Tribolium castaneum: one gene and its partners. The protein of the gene in region 4 interacts with the protein of the main gene of each other region in a pairwise test. Links are inferred from orthologs where the notes say so. Each region holds a gene or a part of one and is shown on either strand. Other genes may lie near its edges. The genes, in order: leukocyte receptor cluster member 1 homolog; Tip60; bys; sip1; Bx42; methyltransferase-like protein 17, mitochondrial.

Region 1 (2,814 bases), on a different chromosome or scaffold from region 4:
TGATTTTGGCGAGTTTTTGACGCCCGAAGTTAAGGCCAAACATAAACATACGGTCTATGATCTAGTGGCGAATATTGTGCATGATGGAGAGCCGGGGAAAGGCACTTACAGGGTTCATATTTTGCAAAAATCAACGGGCAAGTGGTACGAGATGCAGGACTTGCATGTGACGGATATTTTGCCGCAGATGATTACGCTGACGGAGGCTTATATACAAATTTATGAGCTAAGATTAGAAAAGTAATTTTTTACGAATAAAATTCTATCACCGGAATTTTTGTCTTTTATTTGTCCCTCCCTGATTTTTTTCTGTAATGAAACGTTTAGTCCAGAGAGCGGTTTGTTTTTGGCCTGATTTGGTCAAAAAGCTTTTGAGAAATCAGTCAAATCTTTAGTTCTTGAACATACAGATTAGTTATATTTAAAAGATGAATGCTTTATTATTAATTTTTTGTGAGACATTGTTCAAATAAGTTCGGTAAACTATTCGATTAAAAAAATATTTCGTGAATAAATAAGGAAATGCAATTGGATTTTAAGATCTTTATTTATAATTCTGCCTTGCCAGTTCTGGATTGAACTGATTATTGTACTTTTTGCCCCCAGTTTGAGGCTTCTCTTTTTCTTCCTCCGTCTTTTCCCCGCGTAATTTGGCCAAAAGCCCTTCAGTTCTCTTTCTCTCTTCCCTCTCACGTTTCAACCTTTCCATCCTCAAAAGTTCCAACTTCCGCTTCTTCTCAAAATCGACTCTCTCTTCTTCCGAATCCGACTCACCACTGGAGCGTTTCTTCCGCTTCTTCTTCTTCTTTTTGTGCTTCTTCTTACTTTTTCTACTCTCTTCACTGCTACTCCTTGCCCGTTTTTTCGCCTTTTTCTCAATCGTCTTGAGCGTCAAGGCTACGGCTTTATGCACCGGCTCTTCACTCTTCTTCACACCCACACCAGAATCCCCCAGAAATTTCTTCATCACACTTAAGGGATCTTCCCGAAGTTTACTTTTAAGCCCCACTTCGGTTTTATCATTCCTGAACCTGTCTGGTAGCTCGTCATACCAATTTTTCTTCCCTAAAGCCTCGTTAGTGTCCTGCCCCAGATAAGTCAAGTAACCGATTTGTTTCTCGTACTTTTCTTTCTCTTCCTTTTGTTCCTTTTCGTGTTCTTTGTTCGTAGTTTTAGTGTCAGCAATACCTTCCTCAACCTCTTGGAAAAAATTGACATGACTGGTCTGAGCAGGCGCTTCTTCCTTACTGAGGGGAATAAAATCATTCGTGGGGACACGTTCACGTGCCCTTTGCCTCAATAGTTCAGTTCTGGCCTCGCGTTCGGCCAATTTTGCCCGATCTTTGCGGGCTTTTTCCTCCTCAGCCGCCTTGGCCTCGTCCCTGCGAACCCGGGCGATGTTGTCTTTGGAGCGCACATGCCACCTAAACACAACATTGGACCTGACTGTGCCTAAATCAAACAACCAACCTTTTCTTTGGAAGAATATTCATCCCTTTAACTATTTACAACATTACTGTCATTCAAGTGTCAAACGTCAAGGTGACACTTATCGTCATCCTTTTCCAACTCAGGGAAAATCCTATCTTGTGTTTCTTTCTACCTGTCAATTTTGACAGTCATTTACATTTTTGCACAAACTTAACCAACAATTTCCAAAGTTGCATTTATTCGTTTAATAATGCATTTGCCGTGATGTCGCGCCGGCCTTCGCCCCTCGATACCGAAAAGTGTCGCCAGTGTACAAGTTTCTCGGACTACGCGAAAATCGCACGACGCCAGGCTTATGAAGAAAGTTCCGGAGAAGTGGGGCCCCCTTATTTTGGTAAAACCTGGTTAAAGTCACACGATTTGTAGGTGTCTTCGACCACTGGCTCGGGGACATTCCGGACCGATTGTCCCCTGGATAAGGATGAGTTGGGACGTAGTTCGTGGGGGCTCCTTCACACTATTGCAGCGAAATACCCCGAAAACCCCACCAGGACCGAACAGAAAGACATGACTAGTTTTTTTACGTTATTTTCCAAGTTTTATCCCTGTGATTTTTGTGCCGAAGATTTGCGCAAAGAGTAATTACAGTGTTTAATTATTAAATTTTAAATGATTTCTTCCAGGCTGAAGGCAGATCCACCTCAAATCGCCTCTCAGGAAGACCTAAGTCAGTGGCTTTGTAGATTGCATAATAGAGTTAACAATAAGTTAGGTAAACCTGAATTTGATTGTTCCAAAGTTAACGAGAGATGGAGGGACGGGTGGGCCGACGGCTCTTGTGATTGACCAAAGTGTTTGCTTGTAGTTAATAAATTAGGTAATTAAAAAAGTGTTTCATTTTTCAAAGTGACCCCACGTATGCGCATGCGCATACAAAAACACCTAACCTTAAAGTGTTGCCCAGTTTTCAAATTTCACGGTTTTTCTAACTTTTTGGGCTAAAAAAACGATACACACGGTAAATTTATTACCTCCATTCCTTTTTCTATCAAATTTCGTATTGAAAATTGTGAAAAAAAAACAAATTGTGGCAAAGTGAGGTTATGTCACTCGTGACATTTCACAAAAAATTGCATTTTTTTCGAAAATAAACCACTTTCCTGTCAATATCACTCGGCACAATTGAATAACACATTACAAGGGTTTGTTTTTGGTTAAATTATTAGGTGCATAAGCTCCATTTTAAAATTTGAGGTTAGAATTTTTTTTCAGATTAAAAAATGGTTAAATAATCAATTGCCACACTTTTGGGGGTAATGGACGCGGAGGATGAGTCTACGGCATATTTGAAATTGTTTAATGAGGGCCCCCATAATTATCTCC
Region 2 (3,893 bases), about 5.8 Mb from region 4:
TGAATAAATTGAACGAAACGGCACAATACACAATAATTTAAATAAACCGCCTCACCTCACCTCGCTTCGCTTCGCCCCGCCTCCCGGTCCCGCTCCCGATCTGACCCGTGCCGCTGCTCGCTGTCGACTGAAGCGCTCTCGCCGCCTGCGCCGCACACCTAACCTCGGGACACGTCACGGATGTGACGTCACACAAGTCTAAAACAGGTCATTACCAGAAATATTCACTGTCAAAATCCGTCAAATTTAGTAACATTCATACACAGAATTATTCAAAATAGAACAGCATTGATCTAGAAAAATTAATTATGACAAATGTATTTGCCTATAAACGTCTAAAATTATAAAAGTTTCGCATGCAGTCAATGGAAAAATAAAAATGCATATTTTTATTTAAACAGAAACTGGCAATGTGAAATTTTGGTGCGAAAAGTTTTATCACACGAGCCGACAATTCTTTCAGACTAGCCGTGTTATGTGTTATGTTGCTCACAAAACGGACAACAAGGGGGTTATCACGGAGACTCAGCTGTGACGAACGAATTTTATTTTTACATAAAGGTGATTTATTTGTTACCTCAGTCAAATTTTTCAGCGCGATTATTTCAGGCGGCAAAGTGCGCAATTTGTTTTTGTGCAACTGGAGCGACTTCAAGTTGTGCAAATTGGCGATATTTGACGGCAAACTCTCGATTAAGTTATCGCAAAGCACCAAAGCCTGCAGTTGCTTCAGTTGGCCTAGAGTTGAAGGAACTTCCACTAATTGATTGCCACCCATCGACAAGATTTGAAGGCTGCAATCATTATCACGTGTGGTCGTTTTAATCGTCCCCACTTACCAGTTTAATTTCTTTATGTTTTTCGGTATTGTTTTAATTTTATTCCCTCTTAGGTACAGGTACTTTAAATTAGTAAACTCAAACAGTTGTTCGGGAACTGTTCGAAAACATTCCCGCTCAGGTTTAACTCCTGCATGCTCGCACTCTCAGCGAAACTTTTCGGGAGGGATTCGTTACTGAAGCGATTATTTTTCGCAACCAGTGTTGTTAAATGCCAGTACTCGAAAACATCAGGTAAGGTCATAAGGCCGTTGTTGCTGATATGGAGGACTTGGACGTTTGTGACTTTTGACAAGTTTTTGGGGAGCGTTGTGAGTTGGTTGTGGTGCAAAATAATCGACTCTATGTCTTCTCGTTTTGCACAGTCCTTGCCTAGTTCGTCCAAATTTTCTTCGAGTTGTTGCGAATCCAAGAGCAAATAGGCGAAACTCCGTTTGAACTGTGGGCTGCGATTAGGAGAACGCTGCGTTCAAGCGAAGCTAAGGTCAAACGTGTTATCACCAATTTGTGAACAAAGCTTGGTGAGGCGTTAATTTAACAATGAGTCTGAGAATGGAATTGTGTGATTTTATCGAGTGTGCTGGTTTCGGGGGAAACCCCCGAGCAACACCCTACGCCCATGACTAGATAATGATAATTTATTAAATAGTAGACACTTGTGTGTATTGTTTCGGTTCGCCGAATGTGCATATACAGATAAGTCGCATCAAAACATTATTTTGGATAACAATTATGCAATGGAAAAAAATCGTTATGGATATTGCGCATTATGTTTTTTGCGGTAGTTGTGGTGGTGAGGTTTGTTCGGCAATAATTACAATTTTTCCCCCCGAAATTGTGAAAAACAAGCAGAATCGATGAAAGTGGAAATGGAGGAAATCGACGACAGCACAATTTGTGATTCTGTGGTATATTTTCATTAAAAATTGCAAAACCAAAATGTTGACACAACCTCACTTTTAGAATTCGTTAGTGGAAGGATGCAGGCTCCCGGTTCACATGACCGGCACTTCCGACTGGCGTAAGCCCCACTTTGGCACATTTTGCACGTTTTTATGTTTTAAATTGCAGCTTTGGCCGAAATTATCAGTATTAAGGACGTGCAAGGCTCGAAATTGTACTACGTCCATTACGTTGATTGTAAGATTGGACACCCGTTTCGTTCCTTGTGAACTAACTTGGGTTTTAGTTAACAAGCGTTTGGACGAATGGGTGACCGAAGAATCGCTCGACACTCGTAAAGTCCACTTCCCGAGACGTGACGGCGGGAGTAACACTGGAGTCTCAACTCCGAAAAAAATTCACATTGGGGGCGGTGGTGCCATCGGTTCGGTATCAAGGCCCTCGAGCCCTGTGACAGCTGCCTCCGAACTTGTCAACGGCAGTGCTGTCCTAGCAGCAGCGTTGCAAAAACGCATAAATAGGAAACGAAAAGGGCCGTCTCTTGAGAGCGAAGACTCGCAAGATGGGCCCACACAGATGCCCCCAGGGCCGAGGCAGTCTGGGAGCATGGTGTCGCACCATGACGATGTGGTCACCAGGATGAAGAACATCGATATGATCGAGTTAGGGAAACACAGGATAAAGCCGTGGTATTTTGCGCCATATCCGCAAGAAATGGTCAACTTGAGCTGTATATACATCTGCGAGTTTTGCCTCAAGTACCGAAAGAGCAGGAAGTGTCTAGAACGCCACTTGGTCAAATGTAATTTGAGACACCCGCCCGGAAATGAGATTTATCGCAAGGAAAACGTCTCGTTTTTTGAAATTGACGGGCGGAAAAATAAAGTCTACGCCCAGAATTTGTGTTTGTTGGCGAAGCTGTTCCTCGATCATAAAACACTGTATTACGACACGGACCCGTTTTTGTTTTACGTAATGACCATTTTTGATAATAGAGGGTTTCACATTGTTGGCTATTTTTCGAAAGAGAAGGAATCAACGGAAGATTTTAACGTCGCGTGTATTTTAACCATGCCTCCGTATCAGCGAAAGGGTTACGGAAAATTACTAATCGAATTTAGTGAGTTTGAGTGCGAATTTTTGTTGTCGAAATTTCACGAATTGTTTCAGGTTATGAATTATCAAAGTTCGAAGGTAAAACGGGTTCTCCCGAAAAACCTCTCTCCGATTTGGGTTTGCTTTCGTATAGGAGTTACTGGGCACAAGCTATTTTAGAAATCTTAATATCAATGAAGCCAGTGGGTGATAACGAGAAGCCACAAATAACGATCAAGTAAGTATTTTTGATTATTTCTTTATTTTTCGTAATTGTGAAATGTTTGTTCACTTTAAAGTGAAATTTGTGAGTTGACAAGTATTAAAAAAGAAGACGTCATCTCAACTTTACAAAACTTAAACTTAATCAATTATTACAAAGGCCAGTATATTATAACGTTAAATCAGGAAATTATGCAAAGTCACAAAAAAGCCATGGATAGTAGACTTATCCGAATCGACCCCAAGTGTCTGCATTGGACACCTAAAGATTGGGGCAAACGCGCCAAGTGGTAGATCAATAAATGATTTTTTACATTTTCTCTTTTATTAACATATTCCTCTGCCAATCCACACTGTTCCTCCTCACTTAATAATAGTAACACTGCGAACTTGTGTTTTGACGGAGAAACATGGAGAAAACACCGGGTTCAGTAGTACATTTTTTACGAAAATGCATTTTGTTTGTATTTACTGGCACATTTTACGTCCAAGATATTATTAAGTCGAAAGTGGTATTATTTTTGCGTTTACGCATATTTTTTATTTAGAAACTCACTAGTTTCGCAATTGTCAGATTTTACTCTGAAAATCGTCGAATTATTTTTATTAAAGCGAAGTGTGAGTTAAAGTGGACTACTTTTCAAACGTTTTAGTCGTTTTTCATCACCTTGTGAATTTTGAAATCAATGAACTTGCGATTGCAAAACTAATCTTCAATTAATAAAAAAATGAAACGTTTTCCGTTGTTTATTCGTACGTTTTATTGTGTAATATTTTGTTTTGGGTTTGTTTATAATACTGATGGGAGAGGATGTGGGTTAATCAAAGACTCTC
Region 3 (3,398 bases), on a different chromosome or scaffold from region 4:
CGGACGGTTGTGACCTCATTTTTTCCAAAAGTTCGAGAATCCAGGTCAGGACTTCTTGCCTGTCCATGAGGCCCTCCTCATACATGTATTTGAGCAACTGTGTGCAGTAAATCCAATGACGCATTGCGAGTTTTTGCTCAGTTTCGGTGGTCGCAGCCTGGGTCAGAGAAGGGGTTTGAGGGGGCTTTTCACCTTGGGAGTAATAGTCTTGCAGTTTGAGGATTTGTTCTTTGAGGAATTTTAGCATCGTTCCGGTCCATTCTACAAGAAATTGTAGTTAAGTGTAAAGTTAATACAAGTAATAAAATAGAGACCTGTAGTCGGGTCTGGCATTTGCCGTTTTTTGATTTTGGCCTCGGACACGGCAACTGTGTAAGCCGAACTCAACTTGATAAACCAGGCGGCCCGCATCATAGGCACCTGATACTCGCACAGCATTATAAAAATCTCCTCTTTCTTGTTGAAATTGGGCGCTTTTTTCGACAAGTGCATCAATGGTTTGTTCCCAGCTAGATCCTTAAACCAGAGTTCTATGGCATTTTTTGTTCGTATTGTGGCGGGCCAGAAGTTGTCTTTGGGGTTGATTTGTTGCCGCTTCCTGCCGGAATCGGGCAACATGCTCAACTCCTCTTTGCGTTTGATAATGTCATTGAAATAATCCCCGACTTTGCTTGCCGAAATATTGCAGTTTCTGGCCGTTCCAAATTCGTCGCTTAAGTGGGTCATTGTCAGGAACCCATGTTTAACGTTGACACTCGTCAACTCGTCTTCTTTTTGCTTCGGTTCTTGCGGGTAAACGTCCGGAGGGCCGATTTTCGGCTTTTTCAAAGGTCGTTTTTCGTACAAAAGGCTGCTATTGAACATTTTGGCACAATTTGGGATTGCTATTATTTTGAACACTGACAAGGGGGCCTTTAGGCAGCTCCAATGTAACGCATCGCTACAATTTAATTAAAATCTCGACCCCGGGGGCTTCATTGCGGGGGAAAGTGCCAACACCTAAACGAGAGGATGGGAGCTAATATTTCAGTTTTTACACCGATTTAGACAAATAAAAAAACGACAAAGTATTGAACAAGCATTATGTAAGCTTAATTAGGAAAAAATGTAGTGATAAATTACCGTTTTGACGAAATAAACACACTTTTATGCACCAACAACACAAGTTTTGAAGATGGTGTCCTCCATCTTGACCTCTAGGGATAATAAAAAAATCCCTGCTAATTGCTTAATTTTATCGAATTTTAAACTAATAGCGCAATAGTTTAAAAAGCGAATTTTTAGAAAATTAATTTTGCAAAATATTTTACCCGATTTGACCCAATCTCGTACTTAATGCTGCTGTTTTCCAATTTAATTTTAAATTGCCAATGTCGCCAACCCAAACCTCTGACAAGTCCTTTTAGGTTACGTCCAGATAGTTTGAAGACACGTGTGGTAAACAAATAGGGATAATGGGCAAAGCAAAGCGCCTGAAGCCGTCTCAGATGGGCACCAAGGTGCCCCTGGACCAGGACATCGAGGACGCGAAGTTTGCCAAGTCGAAAAACCGCAACAAAATCCGTCTAAGACAAGACGACGATGAACAAGTTTGTATCGCTTTATGATTGTCTAAAACCAATAAAAAATTCCAGTTTGTGGACTCGAACCTCTCGCGGAAGATTCTCTCAGCCGCCCGAGAGCAGCAACGCGAGCTGGACTCAAGTTTCGGCCCCACGCCGTCCGAGGCAAGTTCAAGCAAGTTTAAAGTGTCCAAACTGGGGGACGATGACTCCGAACCGGAAGAGGAAGACACCCTCGAACCGGACACGTTTTACGAAAACATTGAAATCAATGAAGAGGATGAGAAAGCTTTAGAGAAGTTCATGAGTAGCAATCCGGCCCCGAGACGCACTTTGGGGGATATTTTGGCCGAGAAGTTTACCGAAGTTAAGACGCATTTTAGCGAGGAAGGCTCGGTCAAAATGCAGGAGTTGGACCCACGGGTGGAACAAATGTATCAAGGGGTGAGGGATGTTTTGCGGAAATATAGGAGCGGCAAGTTGCCGAAAGCGTTCAAAATCATCCCCAACTTGCGGAATTGGGAACAAATCTTATACATCACGGGTAATTAAAATCATTGTTGATGCCCAGCGGTTAATTAAGTTTTAGATCCGCCAAGTTGGTCAGCTGCTGCCATGTACCAAGCCACCCGTATTTTCGCCTCAAACCTCAAGGAAAAAATGGCTCAGAGGTTCTATAATTTGGTTTTGTTGCCCCGAATTCGCGACGACTTGGCCGAATACAAGCGACTCAATTTCCACTTATATCAAGCCTTGAGGAAAGCCCTGTTCAAACCTGGGGGCTTCATGAAGGGAATTCTCCTACCACTGCTTGAAAGTGGCGATTGTACGCTCAGGGAAGCTATTATAATAGGCTCAGTTGTCGCAAGAAACTCTATTCCTATTTTGCATTCTTCTGCCGCGATTTTGAAAATCGCGGAAATGGATTACACCGGCGCCAATTCGATTTTTTTGCGTATTTTCTTCGATAAAAGATACGCGTTGCCGTATCGTGTTGTGGACGCAGTTGTGTTCCACTTTTTGAGATTCGAGCGAGATTCCAGGGAATTACCCGTTTTGTGGCATCAGGCTTTCCTGACATTTGTACAAAGATACAAAGCTGATATTTCAAGCGAGCAAAGGGACAGTTTATTAGAATTATTAAAGAAGCAAAACCACCACGCTATCACACCAGAGATCAGAAGAGAAATTCAAAATGCGAAATGTCGAGACGCTGAAACCGCCGAACCAAAAATGGACTTTGACTAAATTAATGGTTACATAATTGTGATAATTATATTGAAAAAAATCGGTTACAACAAGACTATTAATAAAAACTTGGAAAAATTAGGAAAATTATGTTACTTAAACCAGAACTAATTAACGTCAATACGATTTGTTCCTAACTTAGGGATAAACTAGTGCTCCCTAATCTCTATTCATCCAAATAATGACTTTCAACAACAAATAAGCGACTCCAAAACCAACTAGAAACTTCTCCTTTTGGAGCCGGCTCAAGTTTTCTAATTCTAAGGCCATCACACGTCTGTTGAGCTTCGCCATTTGCCGCCTGAGGTGCAGCACCTCTTCGGCGGCCGTCAGCCTCTCGCCGCTGCCCCCGATCGGGGGCGTAGTCTCGCGTATCGTCAGATTCAAATCCGAATCATCAAACGCCTGTTTTTTCTTTGGTTTAACCACCGGAATCTGGTTCAGTTCCGGGTCCTCCATCTCCTCAAGAGTGGGAAAGGGGTACTTGTCCAGAGTCAAAGTCCTGGGCGGGGTCGCAACCCGCACATCCCCGGGGTACGGTTCTGGGGGAAGGATCGAGTTGTCAAAGACAATTTCGCGTGGGGGCGC
Region 4 (3,533 bases):
ATTCGATTAGGCGTGTAAAGATTATTATCCGTTCTAAATTTTGTAACTTTATTTCTAATGGTTTTTGAAATATTGAAAAAAACTCTCTAAAAGAAGCATCCCTTTCAGGGGATGTAGCTCCCTTAGGGAGTATTTTTCGATACATGTTTATAAAAAACTTTTCTCTTAAAATTAAATGTTCTATCATCTGTTTAAATTTGTAACAATAAAAACGGAACACCTGTAGGTTCCTTCGCTTAATTTAGCAGTTATTCTGAATTTTTTACGGCTTGCACCGACGTAATCGCCTTTTTTGGTTATTTCACGTCACCACTTTATGGCTGATTTTTTTAATTTTTTGGATACATTTTCAGGAGAACCACTACGAGGAGTTTGTGAGGTACGAATTGGGTGAATTGGCGCCTGGTTTGGTTGGTCCTCTTTTGACATCGGCCCTCGCCAGTTGGTCGCCACTGACCAATCCCAAGCAATACATGGAAATTTTTGCCCGTTGGAAGGACATTCTGGAGAAGCCCAGACAACGTGGGACACTAGAAGGTAATAATATGGGAATTCAGCCATATGATAGTCTCTTATGGCACACTTGGATGCCTGTAATGCGAATTTGTGTTAGGTAAGTTACTTTATTGTTTTCCGACACTCGTTGTCACTTTAGGAAGTTTCTAATGATAACACGAATTTTGTATTATGGTCGTGTGTGCTGTATATTCACCATACTTTGATTAAAAAAAGCAAAACAAGCACACTTGTCGGGAATAAATCTAAGTCGAATCGATTTCGTTACAGTGCTTGGAATCCAAAAGATTGTGATCCTCTGATAACGCTGATTGAAACCTGGATGCCGTTATTGCCGCAGTGGATATTGGACAACATTTACGACCAACTTATCATGCCTCGAATCCAGGCTGAAGTCAATATCTGGAATCCCCTGACAGACACAATCCCAATTCATGTCTGGATACATCCCTGGATACCTTTACTCGATACCAGACTTCAAGCTATTATTTATCCAATAATTCAGGAAAAACTCGGTGTGGCTTTAACAAACTGGCACCCGTCTGATAAATCAGCCAAGCCAATGTTAAAACCGTGGCAAAGAGTGCTACCAGATGGCGTCTTCGTTGCATTCCTGCTCAAACACATTGTACCAAAGCTACAGCTTTGTATGCAAAACTTAGTTATAAACCCACATCAACAACATTTAGGTTGGTGCCGTTCTGTTTTTAGCAACACAAAAAATTAACGAATTAATTTCAGACGCATGGTATTGGGTCATGGATTGGAGTGATATGTTATCAGTCGGGAACATGACACTCATTTTAGATAAATTTTTCTTCCCCAGATGGCGACAAACTCTAGCCATGTGGTTGAATCACAACCCGAATTATGCAGAAGTCACTGATTGGTACACGGGCTGGAAAAATATGCTTTCGGACGAGTTATTAGCACAACCCACCATTAAAGGTTCGATCATTTTTAATTAATTAAGGTAGTAAAACAAATGCAGGCGTTAAATGAATCCGCAAAGAGTTAAAATTGACAAAATCAATGTGGAAGTTGATACCTTTCTTCCCGGGTTGAGGCATTTTTCAATGTCAACAAGGTTTTACAAATGCAAATAAATCGAATTGGAGTTAAAGAGCGAAAGCTGTAAAGATGAAATTTAAAATTTTGTTCTGAGTGATCCTTGTATAGAGTCAACATTAAATTTATGTTGACCCGGTGTCCGAAGATTAAACAAGTAAGAAATTTTATTTTCAATAACTATATTACTTACTTTTTTGTATTTTCAACCATATCTCTGCATTTTCAGAAATATAACATATAACCCGGAACGCAAATTGATAATTGCTTATAATTTTTTACACTAGTAGTCGTACCCTTTTTAACAATTCAATTAGGATTTATCTGTATTTATAGTCTTTTATAATTGAAATGGACGCATTCGTTCCACTCAGGCCCTCCTAAATATACTTTAAAACAAATGCAATAAGCTATAACGTAAAGAAGGTAAAATTAAATTTTATAATTGTATTTTTTACTAAATCTAAAATTTGAATTCTTAAAGTTCAGTTTTTTCCTTGTTTTGTTTGTCAAGTTCATTTAAAATTGTACATAAAAAATACGTTCCAGTTAAAAGAAAAGTCAAATTAGTACTGCTTTAGTAAGATTCTCACCAAAGATTTGACAACCAATTAACAAACTTCAATGGGATCATCAAGGTAACACGTTTTTATTTAGACAGTAATTAGGTAATAGAATATCAACTCTTAAAGTTCCATACTTTGTCCCTGAACAGTCACTTCTTTCGTATAGTATTTTAACTTGGGGCCATTCTTCTTGTCGCCATCGATTGTTCTCATTACAGAGACGAATAATTCTAATAATTAACTTTTCGTTATCATTCGGAAAACCATACTTACAATACTCGTACTAGTAACAAGCTTATCATAAAAGACAGTAGTCTTAAATGAAACCAAACTGGACTAAGATACCATTGCACTAAATTTTATATGTTGACTAGTTTTTGTAATTTATTACCTTTATGTATTTTTACAAGGAAGCTTAAAGAGTTTTTAATTGTGAATTATCTGCTATATATTTTCAGTAAGCTGTAAGTTTTATTTTTAGTATGTTTCTTATTTTATTGACTTGTGTTACGAACTTATGACAGTTTTTAAACACCAACAAGACTACCTACGATAAGTCTTCGAGATGCTGTGCTACTTTTAACTATAGTTACTCCTTTTGTTGTAACTATACAGGCTGTAAATGAATATGAAATACATACATTAATTATTAATCAAAACCAATTTTCCCTAATAACTTTTCTTCAAAACCTTTTAGTTTTTTAATTTAAAATTGTTTTAAAGTCTTACACAATTTTCTTACACGCCACTGAACGCAATGTTATCTAGTCAACAAGATTACCGTTTCCAAGCAAGTTCATGAAAATGAATAAAATATATTATTACTTTTCTTTGTTGGAACATTTCATAAAAGGCTCTTCAATTTGTAAGAGGAAAGATGATTTTAAAAAATGCGATTTTGCAAAAATGGTACATAGAAAAAGTGTTTGTCTTGATGAGTTTTGCCACTCGTTAAAATTAATGTGCTTTCTTCGCTTACACCTTGTATTTAAGAAAGCTAAATCCAATTTGCCAATAAGGTAATAAAAGCATCTAATGGATACTTGAAACAAACTTTTGACAAAAATGAAGATTTCTGTTAACAGGGATTTGTTTTAAAGTTATACAGCCAAATTTTGTTCCAATGTGTAATGTGAAATTAATGTAACTACTACTGATAGTTTAATCAATGGCAATTATTTAAACACGAAAGATTACCTAGCATATCATTATTTTACCTAGTAAATTTTATATCAATACCAAGCATTTCTACCTAGCAAATGGTTATTATTTACCTAGCAGGTCATTAGTATCCATAATTAAAGGCCTGTTAGGACAAAATACATGTAGTTCTAAAATAAAAGCCAGATATTTTCCCAGTTTTCTACGGTACGCAGTGAGGTG
Region 5 (4,071 bases), on a different chromosome or scaffold from region 4:
GATTGATGCACTAGCTGAGGCCATTAACGACTTCAGTGGAGGGGTTATTATAGTGAGCCACGACGAACGACTTATACGGTAAGAGCAAATAAATGTACTCTTTCTTTTCTTTTTTCGCCTCCCTTTATAGAAATTTTATATTTTTCGTCCTAATTTCAGGCTGCGAAGTATGCGTTTACCAGCACTATTAGAAGTGAATTTAATTTTTAATTTGCATTAGCTACTTAATTTGTTCGTTAATTTAAATTAAGATGAAATTCCATCGAGTTTTTGTAACAATTTCGGCTCGACCATAAAACTCAATTTTATTGTTTTGTGTAAAAAAAAATTACTAATTTTGTTACAGTGAAACTGATTGCGCCTTGTACGTAATAGAAGACCAGACCATAAACGAATTAGACGGCGACTTCGACGACTACCGCAAAGAGCTCTTGGAGAGTCTGGGTGAAGTCATCAACAGCCCAAGTATTGCAGCAAACGCTGCCATTGCTCAATAATACAACAAAAAATTTCTACAATTGTATTTATTTAAAAAACCCAAATACAATCAATATTTTAATCTCTTCTCTTTCGCTTATCCCTCTCATCCCTCCTCTCCGGTTCCTTGCGTTTGCTCGCCCGTTTAGCCTGACTCAAGAACTGATCTAACCCGAACGGATCTTCCTCTTTCTCAAATTGTACAGGTCCAGACCTTGGCGCATTCCGATCAGTTCCACTAAACTCCTTATCCGGAACAAATCGGTTCGTTTTGACGATTTTCTCCAAATCTTCACCGTATACCTCCTTATCCACATTCCTACTAGGTCTGTACAAGTGATTGGCCATTGAGCCCCCCTCCCTCCACGGCTTATCATAAACATTATACGCGTCATCGTCCCCATATCCATGCCCCAAACCTTGAGCCTGTCCGAATAATCTCTGATCAAACTGCACCTCGTTTGAGGAGACTCCTCTGGCAGGCATCCCCAAAGCAATCTGCTCGGAAATATCTCGCTCTCGCTCCCTCTTCAACTTTGAACGCTTATCGGGAGCAGCCCTTGCCAAGTTTCTCTCTCTTGCTCGCTCCTTATGCCGGTCCTGTCTCAGCATTTCTCTCTCACGTTCCTCCTCATCTGTGATTTTAGCATCAGCGACTTTGATCCCAGCACGTTCATCTCGAGCTTTTTGAGCCAACTGTCTCAAATGCTCCTCCTTTTGTTCCTTTTCCTTCTGAGCTAGTTTTTTCTCGAGTTGGGCGCGTGTTTCCACAGCCTCTCGTGCTTTTCTATCGGCAATATATAGAGCCTCAGCCAACTTTGCGAAATTCTCGTTGATGTGCAACTGTTGCAACCCCCGACCATCTGCAGCTAAACGCTTATCTAACGGAACTGTGTAACCCTTTGCATTTTTCCAATTTGAAATACAGGGCGGGATTTTCCACTCCTTTTGCTCCTTAACAGTGACACGACGTGTGGGGCTGTGCAAAACGGGCGCTGGGGGCGAAGGGGGCCCCCTTGGGATCTTCTTATTGATCTTGAAACGTGGGGGCTCCATTGGATCAACTTGTGCTTCGACCAAACGAATGACGCGCTGTTTGGCACCCGAGTTGAAGGCGGCCCCTTGTTGTGAAGGGGTGTAACGAATAAATTCAGCGGGGCCTTGTTTTTCGGCACATCTGACTGGCATTGCAGCTGCGATTTTTGAATTTGTTAGGCGTTGTAATGCTTGACGGGTTTTTTCTGTGATATCTTCGATTTCCTCCTGAGATGGTTTAGCAAGACTTGGGTCATTTTCTGTGGTTACTTCAACTGGTAACAAATCGGAGAGTTTTGAATAGACGATTTTGTCTTTGCCGTGGCCTTGACGTGCGATTACGTCGTATTTGACTTTGCCTTCTGCGTCCAATTGGACGGCCAAGGCGTTTGAAGTTGATTCTTTGCCCTTTCGCCCCATGTCAAGAGGGTACTGGGCCACGTGGATTTCGGGAAATGCGCCTCCATCTATAAATTGCAATAAAATCAGTGATAGTGAAAACTTTTCGACGTCCTTGACTGATTATTTGTAATAAAATTTAATAGGACCAATCAAAAAAGTTGGTCCCATCGTAGTTAAATTTAATTACAAAAAATCGGTGGCTAATTACCTCCATAGTCGGTGTGGACTCGTGGGACCCAACCCCTTCTTTGTCCATACGGTGGGGCAATGCTTTGGGCTGTTACAACAGATGTGGAACGTTGAGTTGTGGCATTCTGTTGCCGTCTCTCGTCGTCCCGATCCCATACGGGTTGTATGGGGGCGGGCAATAAACTACAAAATAAATGCGTCTTACTCTACAAGCCCAAAAGTGAGGTTAGGTTACCTGGATAATTCCATTTCTTTTCCTAAATCAGCAAAAACTTGACAATAGCGTAAAATATTCACACTGCACTCATTAATGTAAGTTTTTATTGTTTTACTTCACTAGTAAATCGGAAAATATGTAAAAATCGATTGCACAACAGTGGCTTTCGGGAAAACAATTTCCGCAAAATCTTGATATTATATTATCGCTGTGCGATATTCAAAGCAATTTGTACTTAAAAAACGCAACTAAGTAATGGATTATTGTGTGTAATTCTGTTTTATAAATACACCCAAATTAACGCCACTACTAAAACGTCAAATAGACGGAATGATTTGTAGAGGGCGCGGTTGAGCATAGATTGTTTGTTCCGAAGTTCTATAAGTTCGAAAATACAGACTGATCCAGAAATACTGAGTCTGTTGGCAACACATTTGAAAGTGTTTGTGCTTGTAATTTGTAACATTGCAACCGAATTCGATTTTTCTTGACAACTATTTGACGTACAACCCCACAAGAATGTTAAATTGTTGTTAACTGGAAGCGTATTCCATTAGTATCCTTAAAAATTTAAGTCCAGTGTCGCCAACAGACTCAGTATTTCTGGATCAGTCTGTATTTTTAACGTGAGGGTATCCCCAAAAAAAAAGATGCACAACCACTCACAGACTTTTAGCTACTAGTTACTTCAACAAGCAGACCCTTTACTTACGTAGAATAAACAAAAAACAATAAATTTTTTAATATTTTTCCAAAAATTTAGAAAAACATTCATGTATCGTGCGGTTGCCATTGATAATTGGCAATAATTGGTGGTGTTTGTGAACTTCTAATTTTGAAAATGTACTTCTCCAACATATAAATAAGTGCCTTAGAGCACTAAAGTGAAATTTGAATTTTGGAACTAACACCATAACACACTGTAATTTTTAACCGCTGTAGAACTGTGTCTAGCACTAAATTGAACTAAAAACACTAAAACATATTCAACCGAAGGCTGTTTACTATTGAAATTCGCGCTTTTTTGGTGTTGGTACTTCTGTTACACTGTTACGTTGGTAGTGCTGCAATATCGGCGCGCCTTTTAGCACCTGTCATGTTTTGTAGTTTAGCATTATTTTTGTTTAACGCTGTTTTAGTGTTTAGTTTGTGTATTAGTAAGGATTTATGGTGTTAGTGGGTTTGTTTCTCGTTATTTAAAGACAATCTTATTCAGAGGAGGAACATTTGCAGGAATATTTCCACCCTTCTTTGGTAAGTGCACATTTTAGTTGAGTATTAATTATAGCTTTAATTTAAACATTTTGACGCTTCAAAAGGTGAAATAAAGCATTCTTATGCAGAAATTGTAAGGTGCGGTACTAATTTTAGTAACGTTTTTTGACTAACTATTCAGTACTCAGAGAAAGAAAATTAGTCTTAGCACAGACAGTACACGGTGTCTGTTTGCTCCATAATAACAAAAAAAAGGAACAATCGATGAAATAGTGTTTATTGTAGCAACTTAATATAGATATCACAATAATTTAATTTGATCATGAAAAAATTATTCCAACTTAAAAATATACTCCATTACTTCGGCCATGTACGGGTTTTCCCCCAACTTATCAACTTCATCTTGGGCCTCTTGCTTCAGTTCTGCCAACACTTTCTTCGTGTAATCAAAACTTCCGTATTTCTCAAGCAACGAAACGCAGTATTTCTTTACTTCATTGTCTTTAGTTCTTTGCCTTAAAATATCTTAAGATTGA
Region 6 (2,871 bases), on a different chromosome or scaffold from region 4:
AAACCTACTCAATGTTTCTTTATTAAGTCCCATACGGAGACATAAGCTGTAAAAAGTGATACTTTTCTTGCACAAATCAAATATTTTGTTGCACTATAAGATTTTGCACAAATTAGTACAAGTTTGCAATTTTTTCCTCTTCCGCAAAGCCATAACCACTTTTTTATTTCGTTACAGACCAAGGCCATACCTACACGAAAAACACCGAAAAAGAGCAAAAGGAGTTGTACATAAACGAATGCCGCACCGAACAAGAAAGTCTAAAGCAGCAATTTGTCGAATTTAACCGAATTCTCGAACTCAGTCTCGGTCAAATGACCGTCTATCGAGTGAGAATAGAATGCGTGTGTGACGTTAAGAAAGCTGACGAACGATGTGCCAAATTCTTGCCTCAGGACGAGCAAAGTTGGTCGATGTATTTAGGAAAGCAAGGAGATGGAGTTTTTCATACACGAAATTAGTTCATTATGTTGTGTTATTAGTTAAGTTTTAGAGGATTAAACAAAATTGTGTTGACATAATAATCAAATAAAAGTGTAATATGTGGTAAATTACAATATCTTAAGATTCATAAGACAATCTGCAGTTTTAGTTTTGTAATTAAAACATTTACAAATAAATTTATTTTCGTTTATTGTTGGCGCAAGTGACGTACCTGTTACCTCGCCTCTTCTTCATTGTCTTCCTCTTCTTTGGCTTGTTTCTCGAGCGAAACTGGGAGCAAATCACCCCACTTTGCAGCTCTCGCACAATAAAATAAGTTTTTTCCATGTTTTGAGGCTGTAAAAATGACTTCGTCCAAATTTGCATTTTTGGTACACATTCTACAAATCGTATGTTTTGACCTAACTAAAGTGTTTCTAATAATTCGTGGCCATTGAGGGTCCAAAGGGTCCCTTTCTCCTATAAAATAAATAAAACCATCGTGAAAAAAATATTTTTTTGCGAAATACCTTTCTTTAAAACAACGTATGAATATTTTTCCGATTTCCTTAAACTAACAGCTCCTACTGGTAAGCTGAAATAAAATGTTTCAAAATTGCAAGGAGTGCCATCGTTTTGGGCAAATCTCGGACAAACTTCGTCATGTGGACACTGAAATTTTCAAAATTATCACGTAAATAACCGAAAATAAAAACCTACTGGACTGAAGACGTGTCCAACTTTTGTGTGAAGAATAAAATCTCTGATTTCGTTAACCACCTAAAATCGTAGTGTATTTTTTTAAATGAAATAAATTTTTAATAAAAATTTACTTGAAATCCGGCATTTGTGCCATGGTCGACTACAACAAGATATTTTTGTGTTTTGTTCCATAAATTTAAAATTGTGTCTAATCGGGCCTGTCGTGATGGTAGTTCCAGTAATGTGTAAGCACAGACGACTAAATCGTAGGTTGTCTGGAAGAATTATTTCAAATTGCTGTTATGGTAAATAAAATTACAAACATTAGTTGCGGGCAAAAACTGGCGATAAAAAACACCCCGTAGAGACATTTTGTTTGTGCCTTTTCCGTCTTGGAGTAGGATTTGGGCTAAGTCGTTCATGTCTCTGGATGAGTCCACGTTGAAGTATTCGAAAATGTGTTTCTTCCAATATAAATTCGCCGCCCTTAAAAAATGGACAATCTAGTAGTTAATTATTGATAATCAAATTTTAAGTTTCATATAATAACGTTAACCCAGCCCCCTTTTTTCGACTTTTTTACACGAAAGAGAGTGTATTGTAAGTATTAAAAATAGAAATAGAAATAGTTTTATTGGTGTTTAAAACATAACACAAGTCAATAAAATAAGAAACGTACAAACTAAAAAAAATCTAAAAGTCACTGAAATTGCAACGAAAATATTCATCAAAGTCATAGACAAAGTTCACAATTAAAAAATCTTTTAACTTTCTTTTAAAAACATAAATTACAAAAATTAGTTGGCAACATATTATAAAATTTGGTGCAATAACATCTTGGTCCAGTTTGGTTCCGTTTTAGGCTATTAAATTAAAGTATTAAAGTATTAGTTACTTAAGATTTTTTGGTATTCTAAATTCGTTTGTGAAAACAATGACCTAATTTGTATTTGAGGCTTAAAAAATATTTGTAATTGTAAAAGTAGCATTTTTTTCAAACAGAATCCAAATTTTAAACCCAACTGTGCTATAAATTCTCTTTTCCTTTGATGTGTCTTTCATTCTGAGAAAAATTTAGAATGAGCAGATTTTGAATCACAAATCAATCTGAAATATGGCTAATATTCGATCTACCACCTTTTCACCAAAACTTCATTTATTTTTATTGATAAATGTCAAGGTAAATATTATATAATCGCGGTAAATACGCTTTATGAATTTTAACAAATATTTTTCATTTTAATTCAAAATAAAAACGTCACAAAAAGATTATTTCGAAAAATGGTAATTAAATAAATTAAATGCGATCTTTTTAAATTCTTTAAATATACTATCTGTTGTGTGAAATTCAAAGCAAATAGAATGCGATTCTAATAAAAACGAAAACAGAAAAAATCTGAAAATTCAAGTACAGATAAGCTTTCACGAATTAACGACAGATACCAGACCTTGTTTTGTAAAAAAATTGAGGACTAGTTAATTAATTTTTCAGGAAACGAAAAAACCTCGTCTTTTAAAAAACATTTTTTTATAATAATTTTATCTCCTAATAAAATCTAAAGAAATGAAACAAAGATTTTTAATAACTCTAACCAAACAACTTTTTTATTATTTTCTTATTATTAAAAAACCGAGAAGTTTTATAAAATAATATAAGTATTAAATACTGATCATTTATTATTCTTTACTGATCAAAATCGAATTTATTGCTGATCGTTTATTACTACCCAAATAATACTATTAATA

What was found.
Region 1: the proteins of sip1 (region 4) and leukocyte receptor cluster member 1 homolog interact in binary tests that used the Homo sapiens proteins (3 or more experiments, as listed by UniProt). The link is inferred for Tribolium castaneum from reciprocal best matches to the Homo sapiens genes TFIP11 and LENG1.
Region 2: the proteins of sip1 (region 4) and Tip60 interact in binary tests that used the Homo sapiens proteins (3 or more experiments, as listed by UniProt). The link is inferred for Tribolium castaneum from reciprocal best matches to the Homo sapiens genes TFIP11 and KAT5.
Region 3: the proteins of sip1 (region 4) and bys interact in binary tests that used the Homo sapiens proteins (3 or more experiments, as listed by UniProt). The link is inferred for Tribolium castaneum from reciprocal best matches to the Homo sapiens genes TFIP11 and BYSL.
Region 5: the proteins of sip1 (region 4) and Bx42 interact in binary tests that used the Homo sapiens proteins (3 or more experiments, as listed by UniProt). The link is inferred for Tribolium castaneum from reciprocal best matches to the Homo sapiens genes TFIP11 and SNW1.
Region 6: the proteins of sip1 (region 4) and methyltransferase-like protein 17, mitochondrial interact in binary tests that used the Homo sapiens proteins (3 or more experiments, as listed by UniProt). The link is inferred for Tribolium castaneum from reciprocal best matches to the Homo sapiens genes TFIP11 and METTL17.

What each region holds. Positions count from the first base shown.
Region 1 is NC_087394.1:36,567,338-36,570,151, reverse strand, and holds leukocyte receptor cluster member 1 homolog, read right to left. Parts: upstream 1,599-2,814; 5' UTR 1,494-1,598; coding exon 1,471-1,493; intron 1,425-1,470; coding exon 545-1,424; 3' UTR 529-544; downstream 1-528. Other genes in the region: Usp39 (ubiquitin carboxyl-terminal hydrolase 39), read left to right, coding at 1-244; FAD-linked sulfhydryl oxidase ALR, read left to right, coding at 1,696-1,806, 1,858-2,069, 2,115-2,277; oocyte zinc finger protein XlCOF6, read left to right, coding at 2,748-2,814.
Region 2 is NC_087402.1:5,803,543-5,807,435, forward strand, and holds Tip60 (histone acetyltransferase Tip60), read left to right. Parts: upstream 1-1,301; 5' UTR 1,302-1,696; coding exon 1,697-1,747; intron 1,748-1,802; coding exon 1,803-1,860; intron 1,861-1,910; coding exon 1,911-1,979; intron 1,980-2,028; coding exon 2,029-2,862; intron 2,863-2,912; coding exon 2,913-3,075; intron 3,076-3,136; coding exon 3,137-3,353; 3' UTR 3,354-3,374; downstream 3,375-3,893. UniProt on the Homo sapiens protein: Catalytic subunit of the NuA4 histone acetyltransferase complex, a multiprotein complex involved in transcriptional activation of select genes principally by acetylation of nucleosomal histones H2A and H4.
Region 3 is NC_087398.1:4,030,305-4,033,702, forward strand, and holds bys (bystin), read left to right. Parts: upstream 1-1,368; 5' UTR 1,369-1,454; coding exon 1,455-1,589; intron 1,590-1,634; coding exon 1,635-2,106; intron 2,107-2,151; coding exon 2,152-2,810; 3' UTR 2,811-2,897; downstream 2,898-3,398. Other genes in the region: kto (mediator of RNA polymerase II transcription subunit 12), read right to left, coding at 1-261, 315-864; Tango11 (transport and Golgi organization protein 11), read right to left, coding at 2,970-3,398. UniProt on the Homo sapiens protein: Required for processing of 20S pre-rRNA precursor and biogenesis of 40S ribosomal subunits. May be required for trophinin-dependent regulation of cell adhesion during implantation of human embryos.
Region 4 is NC_087402.1:11,591,447-11,594,979, forward strand, and holds part of sip1 (sip1/TFIP11 interacting protein), read left to right. Parts: intron 1-353; coding exon 354-613; intron 614-786; coding exon 787-1,205; intron 1,206-1,257; coding exon 1,258-1,464; intron 1,465-3,533. UniProt on the Homo sapiens protein: Involved in pre-mRNA splicing, specifically in spliceosome disassembly during late-stage splicing events. Intron turnover seems to proceed through reactions in two lariat-intron associated complexes termed Intron Large (IL) and Intron Small (IS).
Region 5 is NC_087397.1:9,848,801-9,852,871, forward strand, and holds Bx42 (puff-specific protein Bx42), read right to left. Parts: upstream 2,661-4,071; 5' UTR 2,353-2,660; coding exon 2,339-2,352; intron 2,287-2,338; coding exon 2,123-2,286; intron 1,980-2,122; coding exon 556-1,979; 3' UTR 508-555; downstream 1-507. Other genes in the region: ATP-binding cassette sub-family F member 1, read left to right, coding at 1-78, 347-497; qm (terpene synthase), read right to left, coding at 3,867-4,060. UniProt on the Homo sapiens protein: Involved in pre-mRNA splicing as component of the spliceosome. As a component of the minor spliceosome, involved in the splicing of U12-type introns in pre-mRNAs.
Region 6 is NC_087394.1:11,231,887-11,234,757, forward strand, and holds the end of methyltransferase-like protein 17, mitochondrial, read right to left. Parts: intron 1,612-2,871; coding exon 1,449-1,611; intron 1,401-1,448; coding exon 1,257-1,400; intron 1,204-1,256; coding exon 1,144-1,203; intron 1,096-1,143; coding exon 954-1,095; intron 904-953; coding exon 659-903; 3' UTR 519-658; downstream 1-518. Other genes in the region: uncharacterized protein LOC135265467, read left to right, coding at 178-461. UniProt on the Homo sapiens protein: Mitochondrial ribosome (mitoribosome) assembly factor. Binds at the interface of the head and body domains of the mitochondrial small ribosomal subunit (mt-SSU), occluding the mRNA channel and preventing compaction of the head domain towards the body.